Macaca mulatta: one gene and its partner. The protein of the gene in region 1 interacts with the protein of each later gene in a pairwise test. Links are inferred from orthologs where the notes say so. Each region holds a gene or a part of one and is shown on either strand. Other genes may lie near its edges.

Region 1 (3,500 bases):
TTCCAGAGCCCCGCCTTTATCCCCTTACTTTACTGGCTGTCTTGGCCCTTCCCTGGTCAGGTCCCCAACCTCTACCTCAGCTCTTCCACACACTGCCCCCCAAGGCACTGTCCACCCTACTCTGCCCCACTTGGTGCCTCCAGGACCGCTCCTCTCCCAAGCCCCGCCCACCTCAGTTTCACCAGGCCTGGACCTGCCTCCCAGCAGCCCAGAACTCAAAAATTCATTATTTTGTCCCTCCCTTGCTCAGGTCACTGCCTTCGGGGCACTCCCTCCTCTGCTCTTGGAGACCCCAGGCTTGTCGTCCTCCGGTTAGAATCTTTGAGGCTCCTACCCTGTGTCCCCGCCCACTGCAGCTCCTGGAGACTCTGCCCACGACTCTGCCCACCTTCGTTCCTCGAGGCTCCTCCCATGTCCCCTCCCACCTCAGGTTCTCGAGGCTCCACGGATATCACCGCCCACCTCAGCTCCACGAGGCTCCCTGGATCCCCACCCATGCCTTTCCTTGAGAACCCCGTCCCTTGGGTCCCGCCCACCGCAGCTCCTCGAGGCTCCACCCCTGAGTCCCCGCCCACCTCGTTTCGAGGCCCCGCCCCTAGGTCCCGCCCACCTCAGCTCCTCGATGCCGGTGAACACCTTCTGCAATTCCTGCTCGCTCACGTAGGGGCCCTCACCTGCCCGAGGCCCCATTCCCCAGCCTGCGGGGACCAGGCCGCGAGGCCGCGAGGGTTTGTCAGGACTCCCTGGCGGGCCGGGGCAGCCCTGGGACGTGGCGGCGGGGCCCAGGCCGTTCCGGGAGAGGCCAGCCTCCGGCTTCTGCTGCTGCTCCGGCTCCTGCTGCTCGGTCTCCTGCCGTCGCGGCGTCTCATCCTGCAGCTGCTGCTGGAGGTAGCGCAGCTTCTCCTGGTCGGTAAGGGAGGACGGGACGGGGTCACAGCGTCCAGCCGCTTTCCTCCCACAACCACCTCTACCCCCAAATCCGCTCCAGTACTCCCCAAGATTGGAAGTAGAACGCCTGTGGGGACAGGATGTTGGAAGTCCCACTGGCTGTCATTAGGGAGGGGAGGCACCATTTGAGGCCCAGTTGGACTCCAATTCCCGCTAACCTCCCACAGCCTGCCTCCAGGTATCCACCCGGCCCTCCAAGCCTTCCAGGCGTCAAATACCAGTCCCGGCCACTTGGCAAGAACAACTGAAGCTTTCTCAGCATTTTGTTGGAAAATGAGTGGGCATGTGGACAGGACAGGCCTTCTCACTTGAAGTCCAGCTCGAGTCTCTTTCTGGGACCTGAATGTGACTGCAGGGTAAGAGTCCCCCAGCTGGGTGTTGGAGCCTCATTTGAATCCCTCTTATCAGTGGGTTCTAAGGATGACTGTGTGCACGCAGGAGCAGTGTGGTGGTGGTGTTGGGGCGGGGAGTTCCACCTAAAAGTGTATCTTGAGTCCCTCGCGCATCTGACGTCCTCCCACAAATCCTGGGACCTCCTCCATTCCTTACCTCCAGCAAGGCAGAATTCTGCTTCAAGACGTTGGTTTTGATTTCAGCATCTTCCACAGACCGGGTCACCTTCCAGCAGTTCTCCTGGGTCAGACACCAGGGCGAGGGCCCTGCCTTCCCATTTCAGTTCTGCCTCCCAACCCTTAGCCTGTCTATTTCCATACAGGCTCCAGGCCTCCCAGCCCCTCAATACAAGACACACTCGGCCAGGCGCGGTGGCTCAAGCCTGTAATCCCAGCACTTTGGGAGGCCAAGACGGGCAGATCACGAGGTCAGGAGATCGAGACCATCCTGGCTAACATGGTGAAACCCCGTCTCTACTAAAAAATACAAAAAACTAGCCGGGCAAGGTGGCGGGCGCCTGTAGTCCCAGCTACACTGGAGGCTGAGGCAGGAGAATGGCCTAGACCCGGGAGGCGGAGCTTGCAGTAAGCTGAGATCCGGCCACTGCACTCCAGCCTGGGCGACAGAGAGAGACTCCGTCTCAAAAAAAAAAAAAAAAGACACACTCACCAGCTCATTTCCTTGGCTAAAGGGATGGCTTCCTCCTTAGCCAGACGTGCCAGAGTGGTACCCCTCCACTTCCTCCCACCTCTTGTTGATCCACCCACTCCATTCTTCCCCTCTTTCTTTTTTTTTTCTTTTGAGACTGTATTGCTCCAGCACCCAGGCTGGAGTACAGTGGTGCAATCTTGGCTCACTGCAACCTCCACCTCCTGGATTCAAGTGATTCTCCTCCCTAAGCCGAGTAGCTGGGATTACAGGTGTGCGCCACCACACCTGGCTAGTTTTTGTATTTTTAGTAGAGATGGGGTTTCACCATGTTGGCCAGGCTGGTCTCAAACTCCTGACCTCAGGCGATCTGCCCGCCTCGGCCTCCTGAAGTGCTGGGATTACAGATGTGAGCCACTGCACCCAGCCTCCTCCCCTCTTTCTTCCACCCTCTTATTCCCATTCCCCTCTCCCCACCCACTCCTGCATCCCACTGGCTCACCTTGAGTTGAATGCAGTACCCCTCCAACTCTTCTGCCTCTTGCCGCCTTCTCTCCAGATTCTCGCTCAGCACAGAACACTCACTCTGGAGCATGGAAGGAGGAGAGGTTAGCCAAGGACACAAGGGGACAGCCTGTGGAAAAGAATATCTGGGCCTGGGAAGGTTCCTCTCCCTTCTGAGTCTCAAGCTCCCCAACTGAGCTATGGGTGTGTTCCACTGGAGGCAGGCTCCAAGCAGGGAAGTTAGCCCTGGAGAAAGGGCAGGTGTTGGACATAGGGTGTCCTCACACCTGCAGAGTCTGCACGTGCTGGTTAACCCGGGTGGTCTTTTCCTTCAAGCTGGTGATGGAGTCTTTGGCGCGGACCAATCCACTGTTGACCCCACTCTGGGGAAGAATGGGAGACAGGTGAGTTATATGGTGTGTGGGTGCAAGCCCCAAGCCCAAGAAAAATTCCAGAACTGGGAGGCTGTGTTTACACCTTGATTTTGCCCTGGAATGGCTGTGTGACTTGGAGCCAAGAGCTATACCTCTGATTCTTAGCATTCCTGTGCAGCAAACCCAGGGGATAAATGACCTTTCTTCATGGTGGGCTGGGAGAAAAATAGGATCCAGGAGGGAATAGGGGATGGAGGTGGGGTGTGCAGACACGTGGAGGAAGAAGGATGAACTCAACCAAACACTGAGCTAAATGTCTTTGGGGGCCAGGTGCCGTGGCTCACTCTGGTCATCCCAGCACTTTGGGAGACCGAGGTGGGTAGATCACTTGAGGTCAGGAGTTCAAGACCAACTTAGCCAACATGGTGAAACCCCAACTCTACTAAAAATACAAAAATTAGCCGGGCATGGTGGTGCATGCCTTTAATCCCAGCTACTTGGGAGGCTGAGGCTGGAGAATTGCTTCGACCTGGGAAACAGGGGCTGCAGTGAGCTGAGATTGCACCACCACACTCCAGTCTGGGTGACAGAGCAAGTCTCTTAAAAAAAAAAAAAAAGTCCTTGGGGTCCACA
Region 2 (4,168 bases), on another chromosome or scaffold:
GGGAAAATCTACATTCTGTAGAGAATCCCCATCCCTTTCAAGGTCTTTTCTCCTGAGAGAATTAACTAGAGTCTGGCACCTTTTATTTATTTTTCCTTTTTTAATTTTTTTTTTTTTTGAGACAGAGTCTTGCTCTGTTGCCCAGGCTGGAGTGCAGTGGCGTGATCTTGGCTCACCGCAACCTCTGCCTCCCTGGTTCAAGTGATTCTCCTGCTATCAGCCTCCTGAGTAGCTGGGATTACAGGCGTGCGCCACCATGCCTGGATAACTTTTGTAGTTTTGGTAGAGACGTGGTTTCACCGTGTTGGCCAGGCTGATCTTGAACTCCTGACTTCAAGTGATCTGCCCACCTTGGCATCTCAAAGTGCTGGGGTTACAGGCGTGAGTCACTGTGCCCAGGAGTCTGGCACTTTTTTTTTTTTTTTTTTTTTGAGATGGAGCCTTGCTCTGTCGCCCAGGCTGGAGTGCAGTGGCACAATCTCAGCTCACTGCAACCTCTGTTTCCTGGGTTTACGCCATTCTCCTGCCTCAGCCTCCCGAGTAGCTGGGACTACAGGCGCCCGCCACCACGCCCGGCTAATTTTTTGCATTTTTAATAGAGACGGGGTTTCACGGTGTTAGCCAGGATGGTCTCGATCTCCTGACCTCGTGATCCGCCCACCTCGGCCTCCCAAAGTGCTGGGATTACAAGTGTAAGCCACTGCGCCCGGCCGAGTCTAGCACTTTTTAATAAGAAACATTAACAGTTTCTTCTCTGTGAAGCCTGATACCTGGAAGCTTCATCTGTCTAAGAAGCTTGGTCTCCACAATCCCTTAATCCAGACAGTCCCTTTTATTGATTCCACGTCTTTAGATAAACTCTTTGAACCAGCTGCCAATCCGCATGACCTGGAAGCCCCCTCCACCCCCACTTTCAAGTTGTCCCGCCTTTTCCGACTGAACCACTGTATACCTTACATGACTGATGTCTTGTCTCCCTAAAATGTATAAAACCAAGCTGTAGCCCTACCCCCGTGGACACTTGCAGGATCTCCTGGGGCTGTGTCCCAGGCTATTGGTCACATATTGGCTCAGAAGAAATGTCTTCAAATATTTTACAGAGCTGGACTCTTTTTGCCAACACTGCCCTCCAAGGTTCACCCTGTTGGTGATGACAGGTGAGAGGTGGCACTTGGAGCACTGTTCGCAGGGGCGCTGAGCCTCCTCTTTGCCTAGCTTTCCTTCCTGCACATGTGGCCTTCCCTTCGCCATTGTGCAGGGAGGTCCTCCAGGGAGCCGGCTTCGCTGCAGTCTCCAGGATCTGGCCTTCCCAGTATCTCTTTGCCTGACACTCCCTTAGGCCATTCCTGTTCCTTACAGGGTGACCCTCTTTCCCCACCCTTAGAACCGGCAGGCCCTCCCTCCTCCACAGCGGTTCGGCCTTAAAAAGACCCCTTTGGGGCGCACTTTTGGGCTGCTCACGGGACCTGAGCTTGCAGGTGTTAAGACCCTTGGAGTCTCAGCCAGGTTCCCGCTTCGTCCTCTCCGCTCCCCACCCGCGCGACCCCACGGCGCCCAGCCCCATGCCCCGCGCCTTTCGATGTCTGTCCTTGTGGTCCCCCGCCCGCCGCCCCTACCCCGCGTCCAGAGACCCTACTCCCTTCCGAGGCCGCGTCGCTCAGGCCCCAGCCCCGGCTCTGCCTCTCTGCTTAACCAATGGCACGCCTAAACTCCGTATGGTCCCGCCCTTCCCTTAGAGCCCGCCCCTCAGTCACCGCCCTTAGGTCCCCGCCCACCGCCGTCGTGACCTTAGGCTTCACCCCCTTCGGGGGGAAGTTCTGTGGCTCTGGCCCCGCCCCCTGCCTTGGCGTTCATTGGCCCGCGCCGGCGTCGAGGGCGGGAGGCGGGGCGGCGCGGCGCGGAGCCGAGCAGGACGGCAGCCATCTTGCGCGGAGCTGGAGTCGGAGCCTGAGGCTGCCGCCGAGAGTGCGCGCCAGCCCGCGGCCCAGCCGAAGCTCTTTCCCGCCGCCTCTCCGCGCCTCGCCCAGGTCCAGCCCCGCCTGACCCTCCGCTTGGCACGGTCCCCTGACCCTCAGTCCGGCTCGGTCCGGCCTCCCAGCGGGGTCACGCAGCCGCCCCGGGGACGATGAACGGAGGATAAATGGTGCCCAAGGCAGACAGCGGCGTCTTCCTACTGCTCTTCCTGCTCGTGCTCACTGTCACCGAGCCGCTGCGGCCAGGTGCGCCGCGCGATGGGGGCGGTGTGGGGGCGGGGCGGCGAGCGGGGCCGGGGTCGCCCCAGGACCTCCTTTCACCCGCGGCGCCCTTCTGCAGGGGCCGCGCCTGGGGCAGGGGCGGGCGGGGCCTGGCTCGCGGGCCGCCTGGCACTCTCTGCGGACGCCTGCTGGAGCTTACCTGGGCTCGCGGCGCCTCGGACTTCGTGCAGCTGTGCTGTCCGGGATGTTGCCTCTGGGCCCTTCCTGGGAGCGGCGGCGGCCAGGAGCTACGCCACGGGCGCGCCCTCCCGCCAGCCCAGCGTCGGAGTCGGGCTGGGGACAGCGGCTCTCGGGGGCACCTGGTTTCGCAGAAGTCCTCCCAGCAGTGGCCTAGTGCCAGCCTCTCAGTCCTGGAAACTCCTCGCCTGGACATTGGTGGCTGTGGCAGACTGTCATTCAGTGAGACGTTGCACTGAAGAAGTCCTCAGCTCACACCCGGTCCAGAGGAGGCACCAGGAGTCAGCCTAGCGTTGTGTGGCCGGCGCCAGCGTCCCGCGAGCGGAGACCTCGCCACTGTGCGGGGCCCTTAGGCGTGCTGCGTGTATGTGATGAATGAGTCCAGGCTTTGGAACTCCCCTAGGAGCTAGTGTGTTCTTAAGTCTGTGGTGGGGAATCAGAACCCGGGCAACCTCCTAGGAGACCCTTTTCTACCTATTTCAGTGTACCTCTCCTTCCCTTGAACTGCCCCAGGACCGATGTATCCATCAGGCACAGGAATTCTGATATCACTGGCCCACGGTACTTTTAGTGGCCTGTGAATGTTATTTTATTTCATTTTTTAAGTCAGCAGGAAAAAACAACTTCTGGTCAAAGGAAATGTTTTCTTATGTATATTAATACAGTTTTCTTTATGCCAATACAGTGAAAAAGCATGACTCTTAATATTTCTTAGTGGAGGAAAGGTCCCATGAAGGCAGAAGTGCCAGGGCCGTCTTCTCTGATGACCTGGGTGTGGGAGCACGGGGTGTGTGGCCCTCTCCTCTGTCCTAGCCAGGCTCCCAGCCCAGATACACCGCACCTCTTGGCTCTGCGCTTGTGTCATCTGTATGGAATGTCTGCCTCCTCCCTGGTGCCTACCTGGTGGCCAAGGCCCTGACCCATGCTCAACCTGGACAGATTCAGTGATGCTTCTCTGGTCTCCCCATGCAGAGCTAGTTGCTCACTGCTTTTGGCTGCTCTCTGGGCAGCGGGATGACTGGTAGTGGGGTGGCCTTGGTAAGAACAGAAGCCAGGGCCGGGCGCGGTGGCTCACGCCTGTAATCCCAGCACTTTGGGAGGCCGAGGCGGGTGGATCACGAGGTCAGGGGATCGAGACCATCCTGGCTAACCCGTTGAAACCCCGTCTCTACTAAAAATACAAAAAATTAACCGGGCGTGGTGGCAGGCACCTATAGTCCCAGGTGCTGGGGAGGCTGAGGCAGGAGAATGGCGTGAACCCGGGAGGTAAAGCAGGGGGGCGTCACAGGAGACCTCACACTGAGACTGAGGTCTCAGTAGGGCATGGGTGGGGTAGCTCTGGTAGAGGGAACAAACATTCTTTTCGATTCCATGACTCTCCAGATGAGAACATTGCAGCTACCCCTGGAGGCGTCTTGAGTTGCCGTGCAGAACCTGGGAGCTGCAGTTGGCTCCCTGGCTTTGGCTGGGCAGTGAGGGCAGGCCTCTGGGCCTGATGTGTTCCTTGTATGCCCGCGTGTGCCTCTTCACACATTCACCCTATGTCCTTCCTGAGAGAGTGCTGCAAGGATCTGCCTAGCTGGTGCTTTCAAGAGGCTGGGGCTTCTCTGGTCTTAGTCGGTGTTCTTTCTGTGGGGATCCCGGCCTTAAAAGCATACTTGGGTATGAGGAAGGTACCAGTCAAAGCCCACTTCTCAGGAGTGTGTTTTCTGACTCCTGCCTGGTGGGTTCCCTGA

What was found.
Region 2: the proteins of TSKS (region 1) and TSSK2 interact in binary tests that used the Homo sapiens proteins (3 or more experiments, as listed by UniProt). The link is inferred for Macaca mulatta from reciprocal best matches to the Homo sapiens genes TSKS and TSSK2.

The regions. Positions count from the first base shown.
Region 1 is NC_133424.1:62,204,898-62,208,397, forward strand, and holds part of TSKS (testis-specific serine kinase substrate), read right to left. Parts: intron 2,898-3,500; exon of another isoform or gene 2,877-2,897; coding exon 2,781-2,876; exon of another isoform or gene 2,576-2,780; coding exon 2,492-2,575; intron 1,582-2,491; coding exon 1,498-1,581; intron 1,305-1,497; exon of another isoform or gene 1,116-1,304; intron 904-1,115; coding exon 611-903; intron 1-610. UniProt on the Homo sapiens protein: May play a role in testicular physiology, most probably in the process of spermatogenesis or spermatid development.
Region 2 is NC_133415.1:33,587,768-33,591,935, forward strand, and holds the start of TSSK2 (testis-specific serine/threonine-protein kinase 2), read right to left. Parts: upstream 2,801-4,168; 5' UTR 2,395-2,800; intron 2,220-2,394; coding exon of another isoform or gene 2,141-2,219; exon of another isoform or gene 1,910-2,140; intron 1-1,909. Other genes in the region: DGCR2 (integral membrane protein DGCR2/IDD), read left to right, coding at 2,141-2,219.